4 linked regions of the Diceros bicornis minor genome follow. The protein of the gene in region 1 interacts with the protein of each later gene in a pairwise test. Links are inferred from orthologs where the notes say so. Each region holds a gene or a part of one and is shown in the gene's direction. Other genes may lie near its edges. The genes, in order: POLR1C, POLR2J, MKRN3 and TSC22D4.

The links.
Region 2: the proteins of POLR1C (region 1) and POLR2J interact in binary tests that used the Homo sapiens proteins (3 or more experiments, as listed by UniProt). The link is inferred for Diceros bicornis minor from reciprocal best matches to the Homo sapiens genes POLR1C and POLR2J.
Region 3: the proteins of POLR1C (region 1) and MKRN3 interact in binary tests that used the Homo sapiens proteins (3 or more experiments, as listed by UniProt). The two-hybrid records come from large-scale screens. The link is inferred for Diceros bicornis minor from reciprocal best matches to the Homo sapiens genes POLR1C and MKRN3.
Region 4: the proteins of POLR1C (region 1) and TSC22D4 interact in binary tests that used the Homo sapiens proteins (3 or more experiments, as listed by UniProt). The two-hybrid records come from large-scale screens. The link is inferred for Diceros bicornis minor from reciprocal best matches to the Homo sapiens genes POLR1C and TSC22D4.

What each region holds. Positions count from the first base shown.
Region 1 is NC_080753.1:22,256,432-22,263,956, reverse strand, and holds the start of POLR1C (DNA-directed RNA polymerases I and III subunit RPAC1), read left to right. Parts: upstream 1-4,508; 5' UTR 4,509-4,531; coding exon 4,532-4,600; intron 4,601-4,723; coding exon 4,724-4,795; intron 4,796-5,082; exon of another isoform or gene 5,083-5,484; intron 5,485-6,231; coding exon 6,232-6,339; intron 6,340-6,593; coding exon 6,594-6,726; intron 6,727-7,015; coding exon 7,016-7,135; intron 7,136-7,225; coding exon 7,226-7,378; intron 7,379-7,525. Other genes in the region: protein YIPF3, read right to left, coding at 283-431, 522-645, 847-960, 1,155-1,286, 1,444-1,536, 1,674-1,719, 3,050-3,156, 3,350-3,547 and 1 more. UniProt on the Homo sapiens protein: DNA-dependent RNA polymerase catalyzes the transcription of DNA into RNA using the four ribonucleoside triphosphates as substrates.
Region 2 is NC_080765.1:3,707,897-3,715,277, forward strand, and holds the start of POLR2J (DNA-directed RNA polymerase II subunit RPB11-a), read left to right. Parts: upstream 1-4,373; 5' UTR 4,374-4,449; coding exon 4,450-4,502; intron 4,503-5,686; coding exon 5,687-5,776; intron 5,777-7,000; coding exon 7,001-7,175; intron 7,176-7,381. Other genes in the region: RASA4B (ras GTPase-activating protein 4B), read left to right, coding at 77-198. UniProt on the Homo sapiens protein: Core component of RNA polymerase II (Pol II), a DNA-dependent RNA polymerase which synthesizes mRNA precursors and many functional non-coding RNAs using the four ribonucleoside triphosphates as substrates.
Region 3 is NC_080744.1:77,047,437-77,054,589, reverse strand, and holds MKRN3 (probable E3 ubiquitin-protein ligase makorin-3), read left to right. Parts: upstream 1-4,153; 5' UTR 4,154-4,225; coding exon 4,226-5,716; 3' UTR 5,717-6,861; downstream 6,862-7,153. UniProt on the Homo sapiens protein: E3 ubiquitin ligase catalyzing the covalent attachment of ubiquitin moieties onto substrate proteins.
Region 4 is NC_080765.1:5,317,187-5,324,420, forward strand, and holds the start of TSC22D4 (TSC22 domain family protein 4), read left to right. Parts: upstream 1-4,216; 5' UTR 4,217-4,414; coding exon 4,415-5,176; intron 5,177-7,234.

The sequences.
Region 1 (7,525 bases):
CATCGTGGGAGAGACAAAGAGGAAGGAAGGGGTAGGTGGAGAGGGCCTCGGAGGAGCTGGCCCACTTTCTGCACTGGCTGCAGAGCCTGCAGTCCCGGCCACGCGTTCTTGGCCTTGTGCCCTTCAGAAGCCCTGACAGGCGTCAAGGAGGTGCTTAAGCGGCTACAGCTCTGTGGCAGCTGCAGACCCCATCAAAGAGACACATGTCATCAGTACTGTCCTTTAATCCTCCTCCGCTCCGCAGCTGGGGGAAAGGGGGGCGGCCAAGGATTTCAGGTGGGGTCAGTGTGACTGCAGGGTCACTGCGACAGCCTTGGCTGTGGCGTTGAGCAGGGTGGCGGGAATCCTAGCAGCAGGGAGCGCAGCAGGGATGTCTCTGGGGACCCTCTGCATGGGTGGAATGTTGGGGCCCTCCAGTGTGTCCAGGATCCCTGAAAGGAGGACGGAAGGTGAGTGAGAGTCAGCTGGGCCCTGCCCTAGGCAGCTCTCTCCCCGCCCCCCCAGGCCCTCCTGTCACTCACCCTCTACCACCTTGTGGTAGGCAAAATGCAGATAGAGCAGGAAGAGCATGTGCAGGGCAGCCAGGGTGCCACAGAGAAGCAGCCGCTGTGTGGGGCCCACAGTCCGTGACACCAACACTGCCACCTAGAGCCACAGGAATACAGTTCAGAGGGCCTGGCTCCGAAGTGAGCAGTGTGGAGATGACACTCCTCCCTGGAGCAGAACCATCTTTGGGCTCCTCCCTCCCATTGAGAGCCCTTTGTGGGGTTCTGCCCGAGCTCTGGGCTGTTTAACCCAACTCCCTGAGAGGACAGCCCACCTCTGGACACCTCTTGCCCAGCTTACCATGCGCAGGGTGGACAGCCCCCCCACCAGCAGCCAGAAGAGGTAGAAGAGGGCGTGGAGGTGGATGTTATAGGTGATGAACAGGACGATGCAGTGCCCAAAGAGGCCGTAGCCCTAGGAAGGAGGATGGTGGAGAGGAAAATCACTCAGGTTGGGCTGGCCTAGACCCTCATGGGGACCCTGACAAAGAAGTGGTCCACTGGCCAGCTCACCCCACTCCATGCCCTGGGGCCCCAAGACAGATGCAGACCAAGGCCTAGCTACTCTTTTAAGATCACCCTTGCCCACCACCATGCGGGACTCCTTACCAGCAGTGCCAGCATCTGCAGCATGGTGATCTGGGCATTGCACAGGTAGGCGAGGAAGTAAATGAAGGACGAGACACCCAGCCAGTAGCCGAAGCAGGTGCCAATGGCTGTGCCCATCAGGGTGCCCTCCCGCTGTGGGATGAATGCTCTACTTAGTCCTGGGAGGCCTCTGGTCTCAGCCTCCCCCAGGGCCTTCCTCAGAGGCTGCTGCTACCTCACTCCACCATCGTCTCCTTGGGCAGCTTTCAACTCAGTTCAGCCACCCCCCAAAGTCCTCTGTCCTGCTTACGATAATGGTGTCAGATGTCTTCATCCCGTGGAGGAGGATGGCAACCAGCGTGAAGACCAGCATGAGAGGTCCATAGAGCTCACCTGCGATTTTCTGTCAATATACCAACTCACTCAGGCTGGAGAGTACAATGGCCCTTCTGTTGATGCCTTCCCATGCTTTGCCTGGTGGCCCCACCCTCTGCCCTAGTGCCTCCCCGGGCTCTTCCAGACATGCTACCCCCTATTCACCTGGGGGAAGTTGACCATCTTGATAGGGATCATGGACTCCAGGAGCCTGGGAGAGGAGAGGAGAGATGAGAGCAGAGGCAGCACTAGGCTATGAGGTTCTGGAGGGCCTGAATCTTATTCATCTCTCTAACTCCAGAGAACATGCTGGATGGTAAAGGGAGAAGAGAACAGTAAAGATGGACAAGGAATGAGGGAATCACTTCCTTGCCCCTAAAAATGCTTCCAGGAAGGACAACCCTCCGATGCCGTGCTGACTGATGCAACAGCAAAATGGAGAACTCAGCCCAGCTGGGCCTCAGGAGAAGGCATGATCATTTACCTATTTGACCTGCTCCCCTTTAAAAGACAGGCAAACCCCAGGGGAGAATGCCCAGAATTCAGGGCTGTGAAGGTGAAGCCCTGGGAGAGGTTTACAAGGAAAGGTTTTACTTGAGGGAGCCAGTGTGCCTCCTGCCTCTTCCCGCTTACCATTTCTCCAGGCACTGCTGAGCATGTTCTTTAAAATATAGCTAAGTGGTAAAAACGTCCAGGCAAAAGGAAGAAAAAGTACAAGTCACTCCCTCACCCTCTTCTTAAGCGGGTAGCTCCTAATAATACCTTGGATTCTGGCTAGATTTTACTTCCTTTGGCAAACCTGCCTTGTCCCACCCTCCAGCCTACTCTGGGTCCAGGTGATCCTCCCGTGTGCCCCATCATAGCACATGAGTGCTGTATTGTAACTGCACTTGAGGGCAAGGCTCTCATCCATCTTTACCACTGAATCAGACATAACTACTAAAGTGCCGGGCACAGAGCAAGTGCTTCATAAAGCCTTGCGGAGTGGTACTGGGTATTTGATAAGCATTGGTTACATTAATGGGTAAACAAAGAACCAAGCCAAGATTAAATCCAGTTCTTGAAAAGTCATTCAACAACTATGCACTGATGTTCTGGTTCAGAGACTGTTGTGGTGCTGGGAATAAAAAAATAAAACAGAGCCTGCTTTTGAGGTGGAATCTGGGGACACAGACACAGGAATAAGAAAGTACAGCTTGGCTGAAATTTTATCTGCTAGAGGAAAGCAGAAAGATCTATAGGACCACTAGGAGAGGACAAAAAGGATGGGGATGAGGAATGGAGAACAAAGGAAGTGACATCTGAGCTAGGTTTTGAGGGAAGATGAGTAGTTTGCTAGATGGAGAAGAGGAAAAAGGCAATGCGTTATCCCCATGTCCTGTTCTATGACGGGTAAGAGGTATGGTGTGGCTGGGCACAGGTGCAATGATGAGGCCTGCGGGGGTCATGAAGAGGGGAGCTTAAGACTTGGTATCTGGTTGTGGTTTGGATGAAGGACTAGGTGTTAAGAGGGCAGCTTCTGTCAGGAGAAGAATCCTCACCTGCTTCGCACCTGGGCAGGCTCCACATCAAAGTAGGGTCTCAGGATGTCGATGTTGGCGTACAAGCTGAAGGCCCTGGAGGCTTGTCTCTTTCCTGCCTGCCACATCTGAAGTAAGGAAGACGGGGGTGGGGTGGGTGGGTATTGTGAGACTCTTGGCTCTAGGCCTTGTAGCTTATTTTCTGTTGGATTTCTACATGGTTCTAACTGGACAATCTGGGGTGAACTTCAACACCAACTCCAGAACCTGGGGCCTGCTTAGGTATACTTTTCCACCTGCCAGGGATCCACTCTTGCTTACCTGATCAGCCACCTGCCTGCTCAGCTGTCCCTTAAAGCCCTTCATGCCCAGGAACTCCCCATCCTCTTCTTCAGCAGCAGCTGCATCAGCATCTACTTCTTCCTCGCGCAGGCGCTGATGCAGCTCACCCATGTCCTCGAAGCTGGAACCTGAGGTATCATCCATGTTCTCCATGTCAATCACAGCCGAGCCCCCACCCTGTGAAGACAATGGCTCCTAGAGTGCAGGACCTTTCTGCTCCATCCATTAAGTCCTCCTCTGTTCATCCCAGGGTTTGGGGCCTTGTTCTGTCACTGCTGGGGATATGGCTTGGAATCACCACAGATCATGCCACTATCTTCCCCTGTTTTGCTCTCAGAACGCTTGGTTGGTTGGCTCTCTTCTTGCCTGGGAAACCTACTCCCTGTCTTCCATACCTGTCTTTGTCCTATCTTCCCTATCAAAGCCTCAAAGGGCTCCAAAAGTGTCCATTTCCTTTGTCTTTCCCAACCCCTAAACGAGGCTGCGTACACAGTATGGTTTTAGCCAGCGCCAGTGGACCCCGACCGACCTCCTAATTGTTCCGAAAGAGCGGGCGAGCCCAGAGATCTGAGGCCCTCCGGCTGGAGTACCAGTCTGGACCTTTCAGGTCAGCACTAGCCCCACTGCCTTTCGTGTGCACGAAGACCCAAAGGAGAGCAAAAGGGCTGCAAATGGAGCAGACGTCCAGGCTCCGAGGGAGGGTCCCCACGACACTTCAGGACGGCTGCCGGCCCTGGGGCTGCTAGCAGTCGGAGCCTTGGGGCCATTACCTGGATGTTTTCTTCGAACCCTCCCCATTCTGGGCCAGCCCCGTTTCGGGCGCCCCCGGCCGGCGCCGCCGTAGTTGCCATGGCCCTCGAGAGCCCCCGTCGCTGAAGCCCGCGCTGGCACCGAGCGCGGAGTAGTGGGAGAGACGTGGGACTGACGGAGGGAGATGTCCAGGGACGAGAGAGAGAGAGGTGGGACCCACCGGAACGCAAAAGAGACGAACCCGGATGTTTGGCCAAGACTGACTGCCGGAAGTTGGGGACGTGGACGGAGGCGGGGCAGAATCTCGCGATATTTAAGATTCCAGGAGGTGGTGCGTTGCCACGGAGACGGAGGAGGGCGACTAGAACGCACGCGTCAGTTTGCTGCTCTAGTCACGTGCAGAGGTTGAAGATGGCGGCGGCGCAGGCGGTGGAAGAAATGCGGAGCCGCGTGGTTCTAGGGGAGTTCGGGGTTCGCAATGTAAGCCTTGTGCCCTTGACCTCGGGAGGAGAAATGAGAGCGAGACAGGGATGAGTTTGGATCGATGTGGGGACAGACTTGGGCTCGCTGCCCCTTCGCAGCAGACTCGTCTCTTTGCCCTAGGTTCATACCACCGACTTTCCCGGTAACTATTCCGGCTATGATGATGCCTGGGACCAGGACCGCTTCGAGAAGGTGGGTGGGGCCGGAGAGGGTATGAGGAACGGACCGTGTGATGTGAGCAGCCCCTCCCTTACAAGGTGCCCTTGGGGGTTCGCTCCGTTCATGAAACGTTTATTGAGCAGTGTGCTAGGCACTCCGTGTGCACGGTTTCTGCCCTCTTTTGCGAACAAGAAGTTCAGTCTTGTTGGAAAAGAGCGCGCGTAAACAAATGATTCCAGTATGATGTGGTAAAAGCGGTGAATAGCAGTAAGGAAGACTGCGGGTGGGGTGAGGGGTATCCCACAGAGGCACTTAATCTAGAATGGGAAAGGGGGCAGAGGTATGAATGATTTCCTTCCTGAAGGAGATGACATCTGAATTGAGCTTTAAACGGTGAGTGGAAGCTGACGACAGCGAAGGGTGAGGAAGGACTAAGAACAGAAGCTGAATTATAAAGGCCTTTGTGAGCTGTGCTCCGGGTATGTCCAAGCAGTTAATTATTGCTAGAATGTAAAGCGGGCCGGCGTGCATAGGAATAAGGAGCTTTTGAAGAGCTCTTAAGTAGAGCTGATAAGATTTGCAACTTTAATGGTTGGGAGAGAATGAATCTGAGGATCATCATATGGGGCAGGCAGATTTGTGATAGAATTGTATAGGGAGCTGAGGTTGAAGGCATGAACTAAGATTATCATCACGGAAATAGAGCAAAGGAGAGAGAGAAGGTGAGTTTGGTGATTGCTTTGATATGGGCCGTGAGGGGGAGCGTGAGATGATCTAGCTCGGGGAACTGCTTTGATGGATGGTGGTGTCCTTTACTGATGAGAAATGGGTCTGGGGGAGGGGAATGATGATGCGTTCCGTTTCCTGCATGTGGAGAAGTCTAGAAGGCTAGTAGAATATATGTTTGAAATAAGATCAGAAGTGAGATATAATGTGAGGAGTTGTTAGTACAGATAGTTGCTAAAACCATGAGTGTGGTCAGGTCACTCTGGAGAGAGACAAAAACCTGGGAAATAGTAACATTTATGGGGTGGGTGGAAGATAGTGAATTTAGGATTCATCAGAAAAAGAAGGAAGAGAACCAGAAGACTGGTGCTCAGAAATCAAGGCAGTAGTTTGAAAAGAGGGAGATTCTAGCAACAATGCCAAATGCAGCAGAGGAGTCTAGTAAGATAAGGGTTAAGTAGTGTCACATGGAAGCCTGTTCTTTAGTAGAATAGCCTCCGTGGATGGACTGGCTGGAAGCCATATGGCAGAGGGTTTTAAATGAATGAAAGGTAAAAACAGGAAGACTTTTCAAGAAACTAATAAAGGATTGGAGGAGAAAGGAACATCTAATGAGGGACATCTGGGCCAAGGGAGGTTTTTGGATGAGAGAGAATGTTAAAACGTTGAGAGGAAGATCCAGAGGGTAGGTACCTTGTTCTATAGAGAACAGACTTCATTTAGTGCTTTTCCTGTCCTTTTAGAATTTCCGTGTGGATGTGGTACACATGGATGAAAACTCATTGGAGTTTGACATGGTGGGAATCGACGCAGCCATAGCCAATGCTTTTCGACGCATTCTGTTAGCCGAGGTATTGGTGGGCATGGTGGCAAGGGTGGACTTGTGAGGGGAAACGGTGCCATGGCCTCGCTTGGAGAATTATCTCAAGCCACCCCTCCTCTTTATTTTTCCTGTAATATTGCTGAGCATTTCTCCTCATTCTTTGAAAACTTTTTATCAAGCATTCTTCTAGGAAGAGGTCTCTCCCATCTCCCTATGTCAGGAGGCAGGGAGTAGATGGGGAGTCTATAAGATCTTTGTAGATGATTCTTATTTCTTGGGCAGGTGCCAACCATGGCTGTGGAAAAGGTCCTGGTGTACAACAACACGTCCATTGTCCAGGATGAGATCCTCGCTCATCGCTTGGGGCTCATTCCCATTCATGCTGATCCCCGTCTTTTTGAATATCGGAACCAAGGTGAGTGTTTGAGAAAGTGAAATTTTGGGAAAAGGCAAGCAGTTTGCCTGTGAAGTAGATTCTGGAATCAGACTGCCTGTGTTCAAATCCTGGATTGACTACTGCATGACCTTGGGCAAGTTACTCATTTTTTGGTACATCAGTTGTTACCTGTGAGAACACTTGCCCTTGCCTTCCTCAGTTTGTCAAGAGGATTAAATGAGAAATGTAAACAACGCACTCAGTATGGTGTCTAGCACTCAAACGTTGACTAGTTCTTTAAGAGCTGCCACCTCCCCCCTTTCTGCAGGAGATGAAGAAGGCACAGAGATAGATACTCTGCAGTTTCGGCTGCAAGTCAGGTGTACTCGGAACCCCCATGCTGCTAAAGATTCCTCTGACCCCAATGAACTCTATGTAAACCACAAAGGTGAGGAGTGGTAGGGTGAGGGAGAAGGCCCACCTGTTGGTGGGTGCTAGTTTTAGGGACTGAGGTCTTCTGATGTGCTTCTCCCCGCAGTGTACACCAGGCACATGACATGGGTGCCCCTGGGAAACCAGGCTGACCTCTTCCCGGAGGGCACTATCCGACCAGTGCATGATGATATCCTCATTGCTCAGCTGCGGCCTGGCCAGGAGATTGACTTGCTCATGCACTGTGTCAAAGGCATTGGTAAGAACTGTATGGGCTGCCCTGGGCAGGAGGGCAGTTCAGTTACAGTGGGGCCACGTGTGACTGAGGTACTCTGCTGAGGTGTCCCTGACAGGCAGAAAGCCAGTGGGCCTTTGCTGTTAGTGGCTTAGGGAACGTGAAGAAGGG
Region 2 (7,381 bases), on another chromosome or scaffold:
GAGACCCTTTGGCCCCGGGTCAGGTGCTGGCAGGCAAGGCCCTGCCTGCTCTGCCTCACCCTGCGTCTGCCTGCAGCCCCTGAGGACCCGCTGGCCCAGCTGCTGCAGGTGCTTCAGAACCTCCGGGAGGCCCATAGATCCAGCCCAGCCGGCTCCCTGCCCGCAGAGCCCAGCCGCCGCCTGCAACCGCAGACGTGAGGCCTGCCCCACACCCCCTCGCCAGCCCCTGCCAGGTGCTTGGAGACCCCTGGTGCACTCTTGGCCCTTCATCTCAGTCCCTGTCACTCGGCCTGGTCTCTTGTGGGCCGGGTGAGTTGGGGGAGCCAGGGACAAGGGGGTCCAGAAGTGCAGAGCTGACAAGGCTTTGCCCAGCATGGCCCACCTGAAGTCTCTAGGAGACTTCGGGAGCGCCCGCTCCTCTTTGAGGTCTGGCTGCTCCATACGGCCCCTGCAGCCATTGCCACCACTATCCCAGACTCCCCAGGAACCCTCCTCTCTGCCCAGGGCAGACGCAGCCAGGAACCACCACTAGGATAGTCCAGGCCCAGGTGGACCGACGCTCCTTGGACCCAGAGAGGCAGGAGGGAACATGGGGCCAGAGACTAGGCCTCGACCTCAGCACCCACTGTGCTCTCGGCTACCACCCCGCCTGCCCCCCTCATGGCCACTGGCTGCGCCCCCCGGGAGAGTGTCACGGTGCTCTTTTGCTGACAATAAACCTGCTGTGACTGTCACAACTCGGGCGTCTCATGATGGGGGTTGGGGGAGGGAGTGGGTGGGAGTGGCCAAGGACTGGGGCCACCAGCATGGCCTCTGCGAATCCCTATTGCCCCTTCTTTGCTTCCCCCCATCCTGAGGGGTGCTCCTTTCTCCTCCCAGCCACTGTCCCCACCACACCCCTTGGTCCCATTTCTCTGTCCCCCATGGGCTACAGAGCCTGATGTGTCTCACGAGCTGCCCCTCTCCTCACAGCCCCCAAACAGGCATTTCCTCCAAGTGTCCTGAAGACTGCACAGCGGGGCTGGGTTCAGACCCTTGAATCACGGGCTTGGCTCTGGCAGTGTCCTTTATGCCAGCCCTCTCTGCCAAAGCAAGGTCACCTCTGTCGTCACCTCCCCATCCTCATCCCGATCCACCTCTAGGTACACAGTAACCTCCAACATAATTAACAAGACGGGAGAGGGGCAGGGTCTTCCAACATGTTCTTAAAACTCTTATTTAGCCAAGCTTGGAGCCTCGCCTGTGAATTCTAGCCTAGGACAGTCCCCAAGGGCCTGGGTCACAGGCAGGACCCCTGCACCAGCTCACCAGCCAGGCTCTGGGGCAGGGCCATCTGGGCAGGCTGCATACTGGGTTCCTTGAGGGATGGCGTAGAAAGGCATGGGGTGGGGGGCGGTCGAAGGAGCAAGGGGCTGCCCCCTCCACTCTACCCTGTGGCTTGGGGGCCATGTCAACCTCTTTTCCTGGCCACAGCCTTGATGGGGGCATTGTCCCCCCGCCCCCAAGCAGCCCACCAACTCAACTCCTTGGTGGGGATGCTACCATCCTAGGGGCCTCATGGGCCTCTTTGCAGGGCCGGGCCTCCTTCCCCTCCTGGCCCAGGCTTGGGTCCAGGGGTGGCTGAGCCTGCTCCGCCCCTCCCCACAGCACAACATCTGGTTCTCCAGCTACTTCCGTAGGCTTCACCCAAATCCTCATGCCTGTGGATCTTCTTGGGTTCAAGGACCTCATGGTCCGGAAGTATGGACCCCAGGGTCTACTGAACCCTAATGCAGGAAGTGAAGGGGAAAGAGAGGTGAGCACTTACTGGGGTGGCAACAAATCAAATTCTGGATTGTAACTGCACACACACAGCCACCCACCCGGCAGCAGCCGCCACCCTCTCCTCCAGTGGATCCTGGTGTGGGCGTGGCCACTGTGGCCAGGAGGGGGTTAAAATGAATAAGTGCCTGGCACTGCCCTCACTGCTCATGTACCCCGCACGCCAGGTTCTCCTCTCAGGCTCTGAGCAGAGCTGCCTACAGCCCAGGGTGCCACATTCGTTTTGGAAGCCACCTGGAAAAGGAGAGAGACAGAAAAGACTCCTGCTTGTGCACAGCACAGGAGGGTGTGAAGGTCACACCCTACACCTGCCCAGGGACTCTGCACCCCACCCCCACGTCACCCTGGGATTGCCAGGCCTGTTATTCACCTGGGGCCTGGACAGGTCCCCCAGATGTCTGATAGGACACTCAGAGGCTTGCAGCCAAGGGGGCTGGCATTCACCACAGGGCAGCACCCTGCGCAGCCCTGGGTGGGCCTAGCTCACACAGTACATGTGTCTTTCATCCTCCAGGCCTGTCTCATAGGAAATATGGGGCAGTTCCTACCAGCCGCCTCTTGGGAAATTCCTGTCAAAGTGTAATTTTCAAATACATAAAAAAATGACATACAAATATAGAATGAACATGTATCAAAGATTTATTACACTTCAAGGAGGAAATGAGTGTTTGGCAAAGCTGGTTTGTAGAGCGTTTTGAGAAGCTGGGTATTTGTAAGCATTCCAAGAACAGATTGCTAGAATAAGATTGTGATATTTGATACAAAACTGGTTAATGGAGTTTTCTTCTCTATGGCATAGAAACCTACAAGTTAGTAAGTAACTTCAGTGTCTAGGTTTTAATCAAATAATAAATATCAAAGTAAAACAAAGGTCCGTTCCCCAAGATTAGGGATTGGCAAGGTTTTTCTGCAAAGGCCCAGGCATGCAGGTTTTGGTCCCAGTTACTCTGGTAGCACAAAAGCAGCCACAGACAATGAGTAAACAAATGCGCATGGCGTATTCCAATAAAACTTTATTTACAAAAATAGGTGGCAGGCTTGATTTGGTCCACAAGCCCTCACATTTTACGATCTCTGCCCCAGTTAATGAAATAACCCTTGGTCAGACCTGTCCAACAATGCTCCAGTATGACATTGATAGAATATGCCGCACACTTGCCTTTCACCTTATTTCCAAGGTTGGAGAATGTTTCTCAACACCCCACATTCCAGCAGCCCCTTCCACAGTGGTGCCCAGCAGGCCTCTCTCTCTTAGTCTTATGAGAAGATGAGAGGTGAGAATGCTCATTTGGCCTCCCCTTGGGGACACCTGCATTGAGCCGCTGAAGACTCTGGGGGCTGACAGCTTCTGGAGCCCAGGATCTCATGTTGGTCTGGGAATCAAAGGGTGAGTGAGACCAGAACTCCCCAAGAGAGGACAGACTTCCACAGTGGCAGGGAGTGGAGCCCCTGCTGGGTAAAAATCCTCTCCTCACCCTGTCCCTACCCCAGTTAAGGGTGGCCAGCCTCGTCACCTTCAGGCCTCAGTAACCCTGGCAACGGTAGAATCCTTGGCCCAAACTTTTCCAGGATAACCCAGAAGGGTGAGGGTACCATCTCGGAGCATCATTACCCTCACTGCCTTCTATTCCACACCAGTTAGAGGCCCCCACCCTCTTGGCCTGGAGAGTGAAGGTTCTCTGTGGGCCTCCCGCAAATAATGACACTCCTCACCCCAGCACTCCAGGCTCAAGTAGGAAAGGGCCCTTGCCAGGAAGTGGTGGTGGAAGCTCCAGATTTCCTGGGGGGCTCCTCAGCTGCTGCCCAGCCCTGAAGAAACACCTGGGAAGCTATTAGGGCCCCAGTCGCTGATCTGAGAAACCAGCCCCTGTTGCTTCAAAGAGCTCAGGTAGGGCCTTTATACTGTAGTCTGCAACATATCAACCAATCAAAACAGGGACGGATACACTTATCCCTCGGAGTGCCTCTCTCACACCTCTATACACACACCTGCCTCCTCCCCCAGCCCTCACCCAACTGTCCCCCTAACAAGAAGCTCACTAGGCCACAAGCCCACTTGACAAGCCAGTGACAACCCAGCCAGGGGTCTTGTAGCAGTCCGCCTGGGCAGGGGCTTTATCCATACACAACCGTCCGGCTCAAGGGGGTTTCTTTCGCGCTCCCCCGGCCACACCTGCACACTACCCCATGGCTCCACTCTCCACTCAGGGGCCTCTTGCTACGTACTCCAAGGGCACATTTCCAAAGAGGATAAAGGGGTATGGGGAGTGGAGAGAGGGACAGCTCAAGGTTCCGGCTTAGCCTGGACGACGACGTCTCAATACGAACAGACCACCCTTCAGCGCTCGGGGCATACGCCAAAGTGCGCCCGCAGGCGAACCCCCGAGAGGAACTTCCGGACTCACGCATGCGCAGAGCCACCAGCCTCCCATAGTCCCTCCCGCGGGCGTTTCTCGCACCTGCGCAAGATCCTCCAGTCCGATAGGGGGCGGTGAGCCGGTCCTCACGCGGCTTTGGCACTGCCGGCGTAACACGGAAGCAGCCGCTAACCCGGAAGAGGTTACGCTGTAGGGCTGTGGAGGCAGTGGTGGCAGCAGCTGCGACTTTGGAGCCGGTTGAGGCGCTGGGATGAACGCCCCTCCCGCCTTCGAGTCGTTCCTGCTCTTCGAGGGCGAGAAGAAGTAAGTGGAGCAGGCCGGGGCGGGGAGGGTCGGACCGAGGGTCGGTCGCAGATTCTGGGGCTTCTCCTGCCCGTCCTCTGCGGGGGATGGAAGCAGCTTTTGCTTGAGCGTCCGCTCGGCCGAGTCTGCCAAAGTAAGACAGGCCTGCGAGGCGGTGGTGAGTCTCCCCATTTTGCAGATGAGGACACTGAGGCTCAGAGAGGTTAAGTAACTCCCCCAGGAGCACAGGAGGTGGTGGGTCTGCATTCGAACCCAGAATGTCTGGCTCCAAAGTCCTTTCTTTCTGGAATCTGGCAGCCTCCTCACTCATCTTCCTGCCTGCCACCTCTATCCTCCTTGCTGCAGCCAGAGTGGGGGCTCGTAGACTCCCATCCGATCTTCATTCCCCTGTGTAAAAGCTTCAGTGACTCCTCACGGCCTGCAGGGTGAAGGAGAATGTAGTCTAGGGGTCAAACAGCTCGGCTTGGCTCCTGGATCCCCCCCTTAAGGACTTTGTATCTTTGGGCAAGTGACTCAGTCTGCCTGAGGCCCACTTTCCTCATCTGGAAAATGGGCTTATTACTGCATTAAATCACAGGATTTTCGCTAAGGGGAGATTAAATCAGGTAATGTATGTAAAGTGCTTAGTCCAGGGCTCAGGGCATAGAAGACCCTCAACGTCGGCTTTTCCTTCTCTGAACAGCCTGGTCTGCAGGGCTCTGTGGTCTGCCTCTTGCCAGGCACTTCAGTGTCCCTGAGAGCAGCGGTTCTCGATCGGGGACCATTTTCCCCCCCAGGGGGGGCTTTTGGCAATGTCTGCAAACATTTTTGGTTGTCACCAAGGGGGTGCTCCTGGCATGTAGTGGGTAGAGGCCAGGGGTACTGCTAATATCCTGCAGTGTACAAGACAGCCCCCTACAGAGAAGAATTATCTGGCCTAAAATGTCAGTGGTGCCAAGATTAAGAAACTCCGCTTTAGGGAAAGGAGCAATCCAGAGTCAGCGCGAGTCCCACGGAGTCAGGGTGTGGCTGGGGTCAGGGTAGAGACTCACTGCTGCCCTGAGTCAGGGGTCTTCATGGGACGAAGAGATTGGGAAAGGCTTCCAGGAGGAAGTGGGACTTGAGCCTGCCTTGAAGGGCAGGGTTTAGACTCGGGGGAGGAGGGGAGCCCCTGCCCCCCATCTGTTGCCTCTGCCTCTTCCTAGGATCACCATTAACAAGGACACCAAGGTACCCAATGCCTGCTTGTTCACCATCAACAAAGAAGACCACACGCTGGGAAACATCATTAAATCGTAAGTTCCAGGTCCAAGGCTCTTGGGCTGCCTTTAATGGGGCTCTTTGAGGCAAAGCATCAGGTCCAGAAGATTTTCTTAAGTCTGTCTGTTTTTGTGCTAATAAGCACAGAGAAGCAGTCAGGATTAGCTCCCCTATTGGTGCCCCTATTGGTAACATGACCGCAGTGACACCTTGCATTCTAGATGTGTGTGGCAGAGACTGAAACTGAACAGAATAAGAAGTGGGAGAGGGGCTCTGTGGTTAGCCGGTGCCCCTGGTGGGTTCCTGCTATTGGTTGGTGAGTATGTTTACACCAGTTAAGTCCTGGCCAGGTGGGTGGTCAGTGACGTGGTTGCCGCTCTGGCCCAGGGACGTGTCATTTCACTGCCGACAGTGCCATCAGTGAAGCCAGGCCTCTCCCAGGTTTGCGTGTTTGAGGCCGAGGCGGGAGCCGCCTGGTCTCCTGGTGTAAGTAGGGGGTGGGGTTGCCCATCTTCTGTCCGAATGACTCCCACCCTGAATAAGCCAGTGGTGCACCCCTGCTGCTCCGCTGCTGTGTGAGCCCAGTGTCCCCACCTGTGCCAGGGCCCTCCTTCTTGGTGCTCACATTTGACTGAGCTGCTCTGGAGAGAGACCCCGCTTGCCCAGGGCACAGCACACGATGCAGGCTTCACTTCACACAGCCACGTAGAACAGGACCCCACATGTGGACAGCAGCTGCCAGCTGGTGTTGCCCAAAGGACCTCCATCTCCATTTCTTCACTGCTCAGAGCTGGGGGCCCCTGCTCCCTTTATTTGCTGTGCCAGATGCTCTTTTGGGGCTGGAATGGGGCTTTTGTGTTCTGGTTTACTGAACACTGGCTGGATGTTTACAGCCTAGGGAGGTCTCTTTGTGGGCGCTGCGGGGTCCCTGACTTCCCCTGAGGGAGGAGGTTGCTGGAAACCCTGTTTACCAGCTAGGGTCCTTGATGCTCATGGATGTAGGGGGGTGTGGGAGGAGTGCCCACATGGTATATCTTCTTCAAGTCTGTTGTCTTTGAAGATTTTGGGGGGACAAAAAAAAAAAAAACACTAAAAATCAAGAGTAGGGAACCACCTGGGGTCAGCTCCCAGTGTATTTGCTTACACGCCTCAACCCAATGGGAAGATTCCTTGGTTAGAAAGCCTGGTAAGCCAGAAGGGGCCAAAGCCCCAGGGGCACTGGGCTCGCCTCCCTCACACTGCCCATCTCTCTGTCTCAGACAGCTGCTGAAGGACCCACAGGTGCTGTTTGCTGGCTACAAAGTCCCCCACCCCTTGGAGCACAAGATCATCATCCGCGTGCAGACCACACCAGACTACAGCCCCCAGGAGGCCTTCACCAATGCCATCACAGACCTCATCAGCGAGCTCTCCCTGCTGGAAGAGCGATTCCGGGTGAGGAACCAGATGTGCAGCTTGGGGGTCGGGGTGGTCTAGGTGCCAGCCTGTGCCCAGAGCTGCAGTGTTCTCATGCCACATAAGATGAGCCCTGGGTCGTTTCCTCTGATTTATTTGTGGAGGGAGGGACAGAGGTGATGACAGAGCAGGGACCTCCACCACAGCCTCTAGGCAGCGTGGACTAAGGGGTTACGGAGTTGAGC
Region 3 (7,153 bases), on another chromosome or scaffold:
TTATTTTCCAGCTTTATTGAGATATAGTTAATAAACAAAAAACTGCACATAATTAATGCATGAAATTTGGTGAGTTTGGACTTCTGAACCAGAGTTGCAGAAAACTGTCTCTGTAAATTTCAAAATAAAAATCAGTTTGTCCAACAGTATGAGAAAATAAGTATTCTTTCACTACCTCTTATGTGCAAGAATTTCCAGGGATCCTATAGACATATTACTGCTGGATCCAGAAACATAAAAAGAGACTGTGCCTAGAGACTTTACTCACAGGATGATTTGAGTGATTCTAAAATACAAAGGACATTTATGGAGATCTCAAAGACTATGCCTTGTAACAGGCACTGTTCCAATCGTTTAATAAAAATTCTCTCTTTTAATACTCATAGTAGATCTGTGAGATAATCACTCATTATTATTATTGTTATTATTAGTATTATTATTCCCATCATTTTCCAGATGAGCTAAAAGAGGATGATTAATTTGCCCAAGGTTAATTCTTAGTTGGAGAGTATAGAGTCCAGATTTGAATCCCTGATGCCTCATTCTAGACACTTTCTTTTAACGCCCTCACACACTCCAGTAGTGCCTAAATGTTGGATCTGAAGCAGGTGTGTGTGGGGGAGCAAACTGCTTTGAAACAATTTGTGTCCTTTAAATATGGACACATCAGCCACATGGGACTGGGCCCAGAAGGCCTGAGCTGTTTGGAATAAAAGACTGCCGGGCCTCCTGGCTCTTTTCTATCCATCCTACACTCTACTTCTGTACTAGTCTCCTACCTCTTGGGCTTTTGTTACACTGCCTGGACTGTGCCTCAGCCCTGCAGTGCTGTAAACCACCTCCCCCCTTGTGACTCTGCTCCTGGTGACCTAGGTGCTTATTGCAGCCTGCTGAGGAGGAGCCTTGCTTTTATTCAGTCCACTTGGACACCCAAATGCTGACCAGCCAGGAGATCTCATGCTGGCCTGAAGACTGGTGTGTGTACAAGTTAGCTTCGGCCAGGTCCCAGCCCTAAGGTTTCTTGGGAAAAGAGGGCTCAGCCAAGCCCAGTAACTGGAGAAATGATCAGATGTGTGTTCTCAGAGACTGTATGAAACCATCAGTGCTCAAAAAAAAAAATCAGGACAAGAATATGATCTATGACAGTCAGACAAAATTCTCTGAGAATAGGTATTTGATCAGGACAGGAACTATGTGTTCATTTCTCTAAAGACGCACTGCCCATTATTTCCAGTTATTCAATTTCACGTGATATTTATAATCATGGGGTACAATTTTAGTTTCTAATAGTGTATATGAAATATTGCCACTATAAAACTCTAAGATATAGTACACTATGAAATGGTAGGACATGAACACCAGTGGGAGCCACACAGTGGGGATCTGAAGGCAAACCCTGCCCCGTGGCAGCTGCATAGCCTTGGGCAATTTAGGAAATCTCCATTCCTTTGTTTGAGGCGATGGGATGATCACATACTATCTAGAACTTCACTAAGACAGTAGCTACTAGCCACATATGGCTATTTAAATTAATTTTGAAATTAAAAAAATACAAATTCAATTCCTAAGTCACTCTAGCCACATCTCAAGTGCTCAAGAGCCATGTGGGGTTAAAGGCTACTGTACTGGATAGCACAAATATCAAATCATCATAGAACATTCTATTGGACAGTGCTTGTCTATAAAAAATGGATCAAATATAATTTAGACACAGTACTGGGAATATATTAAACAAATAATAGGCTTATGTTCAGGATTTTTATATTCATGAATATGTGAAGAGCCTGGTATATAAGCCTAGTATCTGTGCTCCAAGTCTTTTTTCCTGTGAAAATCTTCGGGACTGTAAAAGGAATATGCATGAACCAACGCATTTAGGAAAGGAAAGCAAATGCAAGTGAGTCTGACTTTGGAAGAACTGGCATCCTCAGCACAAAACTCAATAACTATATAAAGGAGAATTCAAAATCACCAAGATTTCCTAGATTCATGGTGGATAAACAGCAACATTCTCATATGATTATCAAATTAGGAAAAGACTACCTTTGAAAATATTGAGACTTTCACTGCATAATCAGAGTATTCCTCGATTTGTTTAGGTCTTCTTAAATAAACATGATTTTAATTTTTAAAACTTTAATTTCTAGGATAGTTAACTTTTAATGTTATGAATTTTAAATATTTAAGTGATATTGATGATATACATATAACTGATTTTATATATTGCACTCCTATCCAATGTCCTTGCTAAATGTGCTTATTAAATCTAATGGTTTATCAGTAAATTATTCTCAGTTTTCTGCTGTCTTCCATTAATAGTTCCTTTCCAATTCTAACATCATTTATTTCTTTTCTTGCCTCATTGTACTGGCTTGGACTTGTAACAATAAGCATAAAATTTTTTTCCTTTTTATTTATTTCAAAGGGAAAGCTTTAAAAGCTTTCATTTAGAGAATTATTTTTAATTACAGATTTCATTTATCTAACAGATCAATATTTATGTTTCCTACTTCTGCTCCTGTCATTTTTAATTAATAGACATGTTTCTAGAAATATAACCATTTCATGTAATTTTTCAAATTTAATGGCCTAACTTTGTTCCTGGTATCCTCTCATGATTTTAATGTCTGTTATTAATGTACTTATAACACTTTTAAAATTTCTGATCTTGATTATTTGAGCCTTCATGTTTTTTTGATAAATTTCACTAGAATGTATCTGTTTCAATAATCCTTTCAAAGGGTTTTGATTCATTCCCCTGACTTCATGTTTGTTTTTCTTTAATAATTTATTAGTTTTATTATTTGCTTCAATCTGATTTCTGTGCTACATTCAAACTTTCTCCCATTTTAAAATATAAATTTAGGCTATAGAATTCCCTCTGAGAAATTCATTTTAGCAAACAAAAATTCAGTAATATATAAAATGATGATACATCATAACACAGAAAGGTTTATTCTTAGAAAAAAATGGTAAGTTGAATATTTGAAAATCTATCAGTGCAAATAATCACATTAAGAGAATAAAAGGAAAAAATACCATATGATCATCTCTCAAAAAATGCAAACAACTACATGATAAAATTCACTATACATTCATGGTTAGTACTCTTAGCAAAGCAGGAATATAATTTATTTTACTAATCTAATAACATCTATCTGCAAAATAACAGAGCTCACACACAGGGAAATTAAAAGGCACCATTTGAGAGCAGAAGGGTATAGAATATGTTACGAAATACTGGCCTGCCACAATTCCACACAAAGCTGGGTGAAAGAAAGAAAGAAAGGGAAACAAAAGGCCACCATGAGTTAAACCAGCAAGAGAAAATAAAAGCCAGGGTCACATAGGGGACAGCAGCTTATTAAGCCAGCATAGGGACAGGACAAAGCCTGCGGCTTCTGCACAGGAGGGGAGAGAGAGAGACTACAATGAGCTGAGACATCTCAAAGGTGCTAAAGCGGCCTCAGATCACAAGCGCTCCCGCTAACGCCTTGCTGGCGAAAAACGTTCCCGATGTAAGCCCACATGAATTTCCAGAAAATAAAGACCAGAAAATATGACGCATCGTCAAGAAAATGTACCGAAAAAGCTTCTAGAAGTTACAGTCATGAGACAAAGAAAAAAAAAAAAGACCCACACAGACAAAAGGGAGTGAACGCAAAATAATTTATAAAATTATAAAATTCACGTATGAGATATTTCACGAACTACAAGGTGAATTTTTAAGCACAGGGGGGAAGACAGAATTGTGATTTTTAAAATAGACATATGTGAAAAAGCAATCAGGAATGCTAGAAGAGATTAAATTTAAAACCTCAAAGGCCGCGATTACGTCCTCCACGGGAGACGGCCGACGAGCGGCTGGGGGATCAGCTGGCGTGCATCGGAGCAAGACAGAGGCTGGAGAGGAGGGGCTGGCAGCCCTGCCTGATGCAAACAAAGGCAGCTTCCGCTCCGACTCTCATGCCAGCTGTACGGATCCGAGCACGCCGTACGGACGCGACAGAGGACTGACGTTGTTCCCACAGGAAGTGTCCGCCGCGCCTGCCCAGAAAGGGAAGTAGGAACTCATAGTCACAGGAAGTAGAGAGTGGGGGGAAGGAAAAGAGATGCACATTTCCCAAAGACGAGCCCCGGGCCGGTTACTGACCTCCGGGCCTCAAGCCCAAAAGGAAGAGGCACCGGGGAAGTTCCGGCACCATTTCAGGGCACAGAAGCTGCCATGGAAGAGCCTGCAGCTCCCTCTGAAGCCTCTGAGGCAGCTGGGGCCCCTACGGGTGCTGCGGCAGCAGGGGAGGGTCCTGGAGGGCCCCGTCTGCCCGTGCGCCCTGCCCCCCGGCAAGTTGCGGTTCCGAGCCCGGCCCTCCTCCGAGCGTCACGTCGGAGGCCTGCCCAGGCCTCAGGGGGAGGGGCCGGGCCCAGCTGGCTGCCGAGCCGGAGCAGCGGCAGCTGGACAAAGCAAATCACCTGCAGGTATTATCTGCATGGGCGGTGCAAGGAGGGGGAGAACTGTCGCTACTCCCACGACCTCTCAGGCCGGCAGATGGCCAGGGAGGGTCGTAGTTCGCCGCCTGGGGCCTCTGCAGGCCGAGGCGCCAGCACGGCTGCGCACGTTGAGACCCTGCCTCAGGAAGTGGCGAAAGCCCCCCCTGCTGCGTCCTCACGCTCCTTGCCTGTGATTGGCTCGGCTGCTGAAAGGGGTTTCTTTGAAGCTGAGAGAGAGAGTGCAGGCCTGGAAGCTGCCGGAGGAGCAGGTGCAGAAGGCTGGGCGGATGCCATTGAGTTTGTTCCCGGGCAACCCTACCGGGGCCGCAGGGCCCTTGTTGTCCCCGAGGCTCCTCTGCAGAGCTCAGTGACTGAGAGGGAGCAGATTGCTGTGGGCACGGGGGAGCAGCTTTGCCGCGATGCTATCATGGGGCAATGCTTTCGTGGGGAGAGATGTATGTATGTCCACGGAGACATATGCGATATGTGTGGGCTACAGGTCTTACACCCGGTGGATGCTGTCCAGAGGGAAGAACATGTAAGGGCCTGCATTGAAGCACACGAGAAGGATATGGAACTCTCGTTTGCTGTGCAGCGCAGTCTGGACAAAGTGTGTGGCATCTGCATGGAGGTGGTGTATGACAGAGCCAACCCCAGTGACCGCCGCTTTGGCATCCTCTCCAACTGCAACCACGCCTACTGTCTTAAGTGTATCCGCAGGTGGAGGAGTGCCAAACACTTTGGGAGCAGGCTGGTCAAATCCTGCCCGCAGTGCAGGGTCACTTCCAGCCTTGTTATTCCCAGTGAGTTCTGGGTGGAGGAAGAAGAAGAGAAGCAGAAACTTATTCAGCAGTACAAGGAGGCAATGAGAAACAAGACCTGCAGGTATTTTGCTGCAAGCGGGGGTTATTGCCCATTTGGAGAGAACTGTTTTTACAAGCATGCAGACCCTGAGGGCCTGGGAGAGGATCCTGTGCAGGTGGGAGAGGGCGACATGCCCTTTAAAAGCTGTAAAAAAGAGCTTGTCATGCTTCGGCTGGCCAATCTGTTGTTTAAGTGTTTCCTTTCACTGGGAGATAATGAGCTCCCCTTCTCAGAGGACCAGTGGGACTTGCTTCATTATGAGCTAGAAAAAACATTTCAATTTGAGTCTGTAGCATTATGCTGTGGCATGTGGTCTAGTGTGCTGAGGCTCCGTCATCCGCTATTGCCTGTTTTCTGTTTGTAGACACATCTGTCACTCACAGGGGCTGTTGAAGTCATTTTCATGGAGCATCCATCTCTGTTTTCTTGCCCATCCCATTTGTTTCCCCCTATGATTATGGTGTCTCACTGTGTTAAAAAGCAATCGAAAGTCCTTAAAGTTATTGTTTGGTGAAATTAATATTACTGTCAGTTTATGGTTTATTTTGTCGTCTCTGTTTTCAACAGGAGTGACTCAGTTCTAGTCTAGTGTTTACAGAATTTCCACACTCATTTTGAAGTCCCTCAAGAATAAATGTGACAGGGTGAAGGGAGAAGTCTTAACTGAACAAGGAGCTTTTTGCTACTACAGCCTTAAGAAATGGACCCTGGCGGGGCCTTGTGGTGCAGCTGCTCATCTCTTGTTGTTTACATGTTGTTCCTTCCCTCATCCCCTTCAAGTGCGCTCTTTAACTTGTGGTTACCTTGTGGTTTTGTGTTTTACTTGACCAGAACTAGGTGCATATGTTTACATGTTTTTATCCTGTTTAGCTTGATGTGAAATTATTTATATTTGGAAGTGTGTATTTAAGAATTATATATATATATATATATATATATAAAGAGAGAGATGCATATAAATGTGTATAAAAGTTATGTATTTGAAAATATATATAAAAGATATACATCATACTATGCTATAATGTTTATGTAATAAAGTAAATTTGGAGCTGGAAGCTGGAAGTCAAAGGCTAATAGGATTCACTGTGTTGTGTGAGTGTGAGGTGTGTGAATGATCTTTCCCTTTCACAGGCTTCAGTGATTAGCATCTGATGAAAACAGCTATTCAAGAGGCTCTGGTCAAAAGTGGCAGACAGATCTTAAAGGACTTACAAAATATGGCATTGGTCTTTCCTATGATGGCATTAATAGCTCACTCTGCTATTATAAATATAAAAATGTGTGTTCCCATGCAGTTTAGCATCATCTCATTATCTCCTATAACAGTACAATCCTGGACTCATACACACAGTTTTTGTATTCAATATTTTGTATTGTCTATAGACATTCCAAACAAAGGGCTTTTGACAAAAATTTCAACATATAAGTGACAAGATTATAAAATATAAAATAAAATAATAAAAATATTGAAACCAGTCTGAATGCAACAATGGAAAAATTTAAAAATAGAATGTAGAAAGTAACAAAAACTAAATACAATAGTAATACGGAAAGTTTATAATACAAATACACCATAATTAGATTAAATGAAAATGGTTTAAAAACTAAAAGATTATCAGACTTGATTAAAATTAAAATGAATCTGTTGCTATTTAAAATACACACCTACAGTATAAGAATATAGAAACATTAAAAGAAGATGAAAAAATCAAACAGAGGTGCTGTGACTTTTTATCATAGACAAAGTTCATATTAAAGAAAAACATATTACTGTAGATAAATAAGGATGGTATGTAAAAAA
Region 4 (7,234 bases), on another chromosome or scaffold:
GGCCCTGCCGCAGAGACAGCCCCGCCTCCGGGTCCGCCCCCAGACCCGCCCCCGGCCCCAAACCCACCCTTCCACACCCTCCAAGGACGGAGCTGGAGCGGCCGCGTTGTGCTGCGCCGCCAGGCTGGGGTGGGGGGCACGAGGGCCGCGGAGCCCCCAGGGGGACTCGGAGAAAGATCGTGGGGCGCGGGGGACCTGGCGCCAGTCCGCCCCCGCTTTGGGGCGTCCGCTCCTCGCCTCCCCTCGCCCCTGGCCCGGCCGGGCCGTGCTCGGTTCAGTGTCCAAGGCCCCGGCGGAGCGAAGCGGGGCGCAGCGTGCAGCGGCGCCCCCCAGCGGCAGCCGGGGGTCTGCACCGACGCGCGTACCCCGTGCGCCAGGCGCTCCCCGGGTGCGCACCCCGCGTCGGGCCGGGGCGAGGCTGCAGCTGCGGGGCCCCGAGTGCAGTGAGGTGGCGAGGCCGGCAGGGGGGGCCGCTTTCCGGGCCGAGGGGCTCTGAGTGGGAAGCCGGACCATCTGCGTCTCTACCCAGCAGGGGGCGTGCTCCCTTGGCCGCGCCCCGTCTTCCCGCCGCCCCCCACGTGCGGGGAGGGCACGGGAGCTGGCTCGCTTGGTACCCGTCGCTTATCCCTGCAGCCTCGCAGGCGCCCGGACCTTGTTTCACCGCCTGGGCTCAAAGTCTTCCACCCGTCCGTCCCCGCCGCCCAAGTCACCCTCCCACTAACCTTTGACTCCGCTGGCGGCGCCTGCCGAGACCTGGGCGCCCCGGGGTCGGCCTCTCACTGGGACCACCGCGGCCACGGCCCAGGTGCGGTCGCGGCGGCCGCGGAGGGTCGCGACCTCGCCCCCCGCCTCGCATCACCTTTCTCATCGGCTCCCTGAGAAATTCTCCCTTGGAAATCTCTTTGCCGCACAATAGCTGCAAGACTTCGGTTCTACCCTTAACTGGCTGAAAAATGGACCCCCATAAAATATCCACGCCCTAATCCCTGGAACCTGTGAATGTTACTTTATATGGCAAAGTCTTTGCTGATGTGCTGTGCAGCTTTGGGCAAATGGCACAGCCCCTCTGAGAGATGCCTCATCTCATACCTACCTCAATAAAGTGGTTGGGAGGCAGCAAAATAATGACTACCAAGAGCTTTGTAAATCGTAAAGGGCCCCACACATTAAAGGGCTGTTATAAATGCCTCCAGGGGAGGAAAAACAATAAAATACATACCAGTCCTTTCACATTTACGCCTTAGTGTGAATGAATTTTTATTTATTCATTCAACAAGCATGTCCACAGAGACCAACAACGTCCCAGCGACTGCAGACATGGAGGAGTCCAAGTTGATGCTGAGCGTCTGAGCTGGTGGGAAGGGGAGGGTCCCAAGATAAGTTTTGAATAGTTCGTAGCAAGTCTGCGCTGAAGGATCCCGGGCGGAGCACAGGGCTCTGTTCTGAATATTGCCAGAGAGGAGGGGGTTGGAGGGGGAGTTGTGTGGGAGGCTACTTCAGCTGCTTCCTGGACCTCACGCCTTGGGAGGCCTCAGGACTTGGCTATGGTAGCCATTGTCTCCATGAAGGGAGAGAGGCAGGAGTAGAGACGCATTTTAACAAAGAGATAAAGAATAAATATATAAACGTGGGGCAAAGGATTTTGCATCATTTTGTTTTTGCTTAACCCTAAAGAGTGATTAAAAATTTTCATGAGGGTCCAGCTCCCTGCAGTAGTGGTTAAGTTCTGCACATTCCCCACAGGTTCGGATCCCGGTTGCCGACCTACACCACTTGTCAGCCACACTGTGGCAGCAACCCACACATAAAGTAGAGGAAGATTGGCACAGATGTTAGCTCAGGGCTAATCTTACCTAGCAAAAAAAACCCCAAAAAAACAAAAAAAAAATTTCCATGAGCCAAAGCTGAGGAAGGAGGGATGTGTCAGAGCCCAGCACTGGTCTCAACGCCATCCAACACCTGCTCTGAGGCCTTGAGCAAATAATGCCTGTAAGCCTCAGTTTCCTTAGCGGAAACACTAGCTCAAAACCCACCCCACTTCTGCCCAGGGCTGTTTTGAGAATCCATGAGATAACCATGTGAAGTGGACAAATACGAGGAATTTTTAATATGCTCTAGACCCGTTCCATTTGACCCAAATTAATTACACTCCATTTCCTTCTGAACCTGGGAGTGAGGGCAGATGTGGCCATTAGACATGGCTCTTGCTAAAATAACTCCTTTTAGAATGTTGGTTGGGGGAGCCAAAAAAGAGAAAATGGCAGTTTATTCTTTCATGCCAAGCACATAGTAGGCCCTTTATGAGTGTGTGTGGACTCACCAGAGTGAGGGAGGGACGGGATGGGAAAGGCAGGAAGGGTGAGAGGTAGGGAGGGGCCCATGCTGGTGGCCAGCTGGGTTCGTCATCCTCAGCCACATGTGTGTTGGGTGACTGCGTGTACATACATATGTGTGACCAGCGGTTGGAAAGAAAGTGCCAGTCAGCACCTTCTCGAGAGTGTCTTCATTGTCTCTCTGTTTGGGGGCCAGACAAGAACACCTCTGACTGTATGAAATGTCCCTGCGCCACCACTGACAGCTTTTCTGAACCTCCTGGGTGTCAATTTCCACATCTAAGAAGGGGAATACTATGATGTCTGGGATGTGATTCAAATACTCCAGCACAAAACAACAAAAGATATTGGGGGGCAGATGAAACAAGACTGGCTGTGAGTTGATAACTGTCGACACTACTCTCTCTACTTTGGGGCATGTTTGAAAATTGTCATAATAATCCACTTTTTAAAATCAGGACAGGGGAGAATAACCTTCCTCGTACAGTTACTGTGAGAACCAGCGAAGACATGACACTAACAGCTGCAGCAGCACCGTAACATTTACTGGGCGCTTACGGGGCGGCAGGCGCCCAGCAGAGCTCCGGCTAAGCTCCTTCCCACTCCTGGGTGTCTGTAGGCCAATGGCAGCGAGCGCCTACAAGTAAGGGAATCCCTGGCCTCGCTCAAACTCCTCCCCTTTCTCTCCGCCCTCCACAGCCCCTCCCTCCGAGGAAGAGCTGGGCTAGGGCCCAGCAGGTGTGGGGTTAAGGCAGCTCGGTCGGGGCCCCAGGAGCCGCAGCAGCCGCAGCAACTGCACCAGCAGCGGCGGTGGCAGGCCTGGCCCCGGGCCAGCTGGCCGGGAGCCCCAGGAGGAGAGGGGGCGGAGGAAGAGGGGAAGGAGGAGGAGGAGGAGGAGAGGAGCAGTCAGCAGGCCCGAGGAGGCAGGACTTCCTGGTGTGGGGGTTGTCAACAGCCCAGAAAGAGAAAGACAGAGACAGAACTGAGAGGAGCTGAGGAGCCGAGAGAGACCCAGCAAGGCCACGCGGGAGGAGACTTGGGAGACCCACTCGCCCCGACCACCGAGGCGGCTCCACCTGGAGGAGCGGGGGGCTGAGCCGCCCCCTCCCGCATCGGTCCGGAGACCCTTGGGGCTTCAGAGGCCGCGCTTGGACTCCACCAAGGAGGCGGGGGTTCCTTCTTTACTGGAGGGCAAACTTTTCACGGAGATGCCTTGCGGGGCGAGGTGCTGCCCCTGAAGAGGACCGGACAGCCTCTGGTCGCCACCTGCGCGCCCCGCGCTGCTGGGGCCGGGAGGCCCCAGGAAAAGGACAGCCGGACGTCTTAGGCAGCCGGAACCCCCGGCCCAGCTCGGTGGCCGAAGCCGAGAGGTAGGGCTCTGGGCTGGGCGGGGCGCTGGGCCGGAGGGGCAGGGCCTGCCCCAGGGATGGGGGAGCTGGGGTGCCGGGCCTCGAGGCTCAGCAGAGGCCTCCCGGTGGCCGGGCCAGGCCGAGGAGCTGCTTCACCCCCGTTCCCCCAGGCCCTGGAGCCCTTGCCCTTGGGACGACTCGGTCCCGTGAGTTTGAATCCCAGGCGAGAAATGCCCAACTTTGGGTCTGGGCTGCCTCTTCCTGCTCTGTGCGCGCGCTCGGATCCGTCCCGTCTGCCCTGGTCTCTGTCGTCTCTGGCTGTCTCTTTGTCTCTGGGTCTCTGGCGGTTTCCCCTTCCTCCCCCATCCTGCTCCCCAGAGAGGAAGCCCCGGAGGTGGCCTGCCCACTGCTTTCTCACACATACACACTCTCTCTCTTTTTCCAGTTTGCAAACTCAGCTCTGGAGTTCGGCAGCGACAGCAGCAGGAAAAACCTGCCCCTGCCGGGCCCCCCCCACCCCCGCTCCTGCCACCACCCCTACCCTGTTCTCCCTTCACCAACCAGGCACCCCCAGTTCCCCGCAAGGCCCTCCTGCCATGTCGGACCCAGACGGCCCCAGGGGCCCTGATGTACCCGCCATGTGGCCCCCCTGTTCCAGGGGCGCCTGAGCCCCTTCGAAGATCCACCACTGCCCCCCTGCCCACCTTGGCCTAGTCCTGAGCCCCAAGGACCATGAGTGGGGGCAAGAAGAAGAGTAGTTTCCAAATCACCAGCGTCACCACGGACTACGACGGCCCAGGGAGCCCAGGGGATCCAGATCCCCCTACCCCGCCGGCCCCCACCGGGCCCTCGCCCCGCCTGCCCAATGGGGAGCCCAACCCTGAGCCGGGGGGCAAGGGCACCCCCCGGAATGGCTCCCCGCCGCCTGGGGCCCCAGCCTCCCGTTTCCGGGTGGTGAAGCTGCCCCACGGCCTGGGAGAGCCTTATCGCCGAGGCCGTTGGACGTGTGTGGATGTTTACGAGAGAGACCTGGAGCCCCCTAGTTTTGGCAGGCTCCTGGAGGGAATTCGAGGGGCCTCGGGGGGTACCGGGGGCAGATCTTTGGATTCCAGGTTGGAGCTGGCCAGCTTGGGCCTGGGCGCCCCTACCCCACAGCCAAGCCTGTCTCAGGGCCCCACCTCCTGGCTCCGCCCGCCTCCCACCTCCCCTGGACCTCAGGCCCGTTCCTTCACTGGGGGGCTGGGCCAGCTGGCGGTGCCTGGCAAGGCCAAGGGGGAGACACCCCCCATGTCAGCCTCCCCACCGCAGCAGCACCCCCCAGAGCCTGGGACTGGGGATAGCATGGGGCCGCCCAGTGCCGCCACGCCCCTGCCCTCCCTGAGGGTGGAAGTGGAGGCTGGGGGCTCAGCAGCCGTGACCCCTCCACTGTCCCGAACGAAGGATGGAGCCCTGCGGCTGAGGACGGAGTTGGTTCCTCCAGAGGAGATGGGGCAGGTAAGAGCTGGGTTCCAGAGTCGGGGAGACACCTGAGGGGTGGTGCGTCTCAGCCTTGGCCTAACCTCCAGCCTGGGCCTCCTTGCCTCCACCTCCATACCACTTTCTCCTCACTTCATCAGCACCTGTCTGTCAGATCAGATAGCCTCTCATTTTTTTTCCTGCCATCTCACTTGGAAGTCCATTCTTCCTCCTCTCACTGCCTTTGTTTTCTCTCTCAGGCTCCCTCTTCCCCACATTCTGCACCTTCTTTCTTTCTTTTTGGCCTGTCATTTGTTGCCTTTGGCCCAAGTCGCCATCTCCATATAGCGTAGTCCCATCTCTCCATCACAGGGATGTGGCCTCCCCATGCTGGCCTTCACCTTCTGTCTTGGTCTCACCCCTTCTGGCTTCAGGCGTTGAGGGTGGAGGCCCCAGGCAGGGCTGGGTGGTTGGGCCTCTGGGAGAGGAGCTGCCAAGGTTGGCAGGGCAGGTTAACAAGTAGGCATTCTGTTCTAAGTCTGTCCTTTGTAGCCCCATTCCAAAGGTGGGGGTCTTCTTTTTCCCACTACACACCCATCCCAGCCCCGTCTTCAGCTTTGTCTTAAGCCAAATTTTTCCGAGGACCTGAGGAATTGGGTGGGGGGCCCGTTACAAGGATGGGGGCCTTGCTGGTATGTCCTTTCCACCCCCGGTTGTCTGTCTCAGTTCCCTGCATCTGGGCCTCTCCAGGATCGATAACTAGGGGTGGCCACCATGGAGTGGGAGAGGTGGGAAGCAGCTGAGAAAGAGTTAAATCCTTTGCTCTCTCTGCTTCCTGTCTCCAAAAGAGGAACAAGTCTGGGCTGGGGGGCAGGATGCCTGGGTCCCTGGGGTGGGGGGTGGGCAGCGAGGAATGTGGGGGTTGGATGTGTCTGTCCTGAAGGAGAAAATAACACCTTGAGCTGCAGGAGGAAAGTCAGGGAGTGTGAGGATGAGAGCTTTTCCCCTTCCTGGCCTTGGGCACAGACCACAGTATAAAAATAGCCTGAGACTGGGTGTCTGGGCCCTGTCAGGACCGGTCAGGACTGGCTCCCCCCCACCCCTTCTGGCCGCAAGCTCACATCTCTCGTGCTCCCCTCACCCCTACTTTTCTTGAGTTTTTTTTTGAGCTCTTTCATTCAGTTCCTACCCCAGGGGAGAAGACGCTGTTTCCTTTACTGGTCCCTGTCCCCACACTCTTCCAAAGCAGGCCCCCTTCGCCCCAGCCTCTGTCTGTCCTTAACCCCTGCCTGAGCTTCCCTTGGGCCCGCTGACCCTGCCCCTCTCCCTTCAGTGCCCCCAGCCCCTTTGCTTCCCCTGCATCCTGATCCCTTCCTGTGTGCCTGCATCTGTGCTGCTGCTTCCCTGCCCAGAAGTCCGTCTCCCTTCCACACTCCCCCATGCCACCTGGGCCCCCTTCCTCTGCTCTGTCCCTCTAACCACCCTGGACTCAGTTCTTGGCTTTTCCGAGAAGCTGGGGCCTCCTGGGGCCTCACAGAGGCGTCTTGTTCCTGTGGCCCCCGCCCTTTTGCAGCCACCCCCAGCGCCTGTTGGACTGTGTGGGTCCACACCCAGGCTCCGCCTCCCCCCATCTCTGCAACCACTCCCCCCCACCCCCAAGGAGGGAGCAAGCGCAGGAGCAGAACTTCACCTGAGACCGAGAAGTTTGAGAGGAGAGGCTAGAATGGGAGGTGGGGGGGTGGGGGGCGTGGAGGACCAGTTTCTGAGGATTCATTCATTCTACAAATAGCTATTGAATAAACTAAGCTCTGCCCTCTGGAGCTTACCTTCTAGCAGCGGAGAGACAAAAATACTTTAATTTCCTATAATATTAGGTGCTATAAAAAAATAGAACAGTTCGGGGGAATCCACTACTAGAATGATGGGGAAATGCCTCTCTGAGGAAGTGACATTTGACTTGCTTTAAGAAGCCAAGTGACAGAAGGCAGACACTCTCTGACTAGCCTCTGATTAGGGGTCCTGGTTCAGCTGGCAGAAGATGCTGGAGTGCAGACCAGAGCCCCTCTCTGATACCCCGTGAGCCACTGTTTTCCTTGC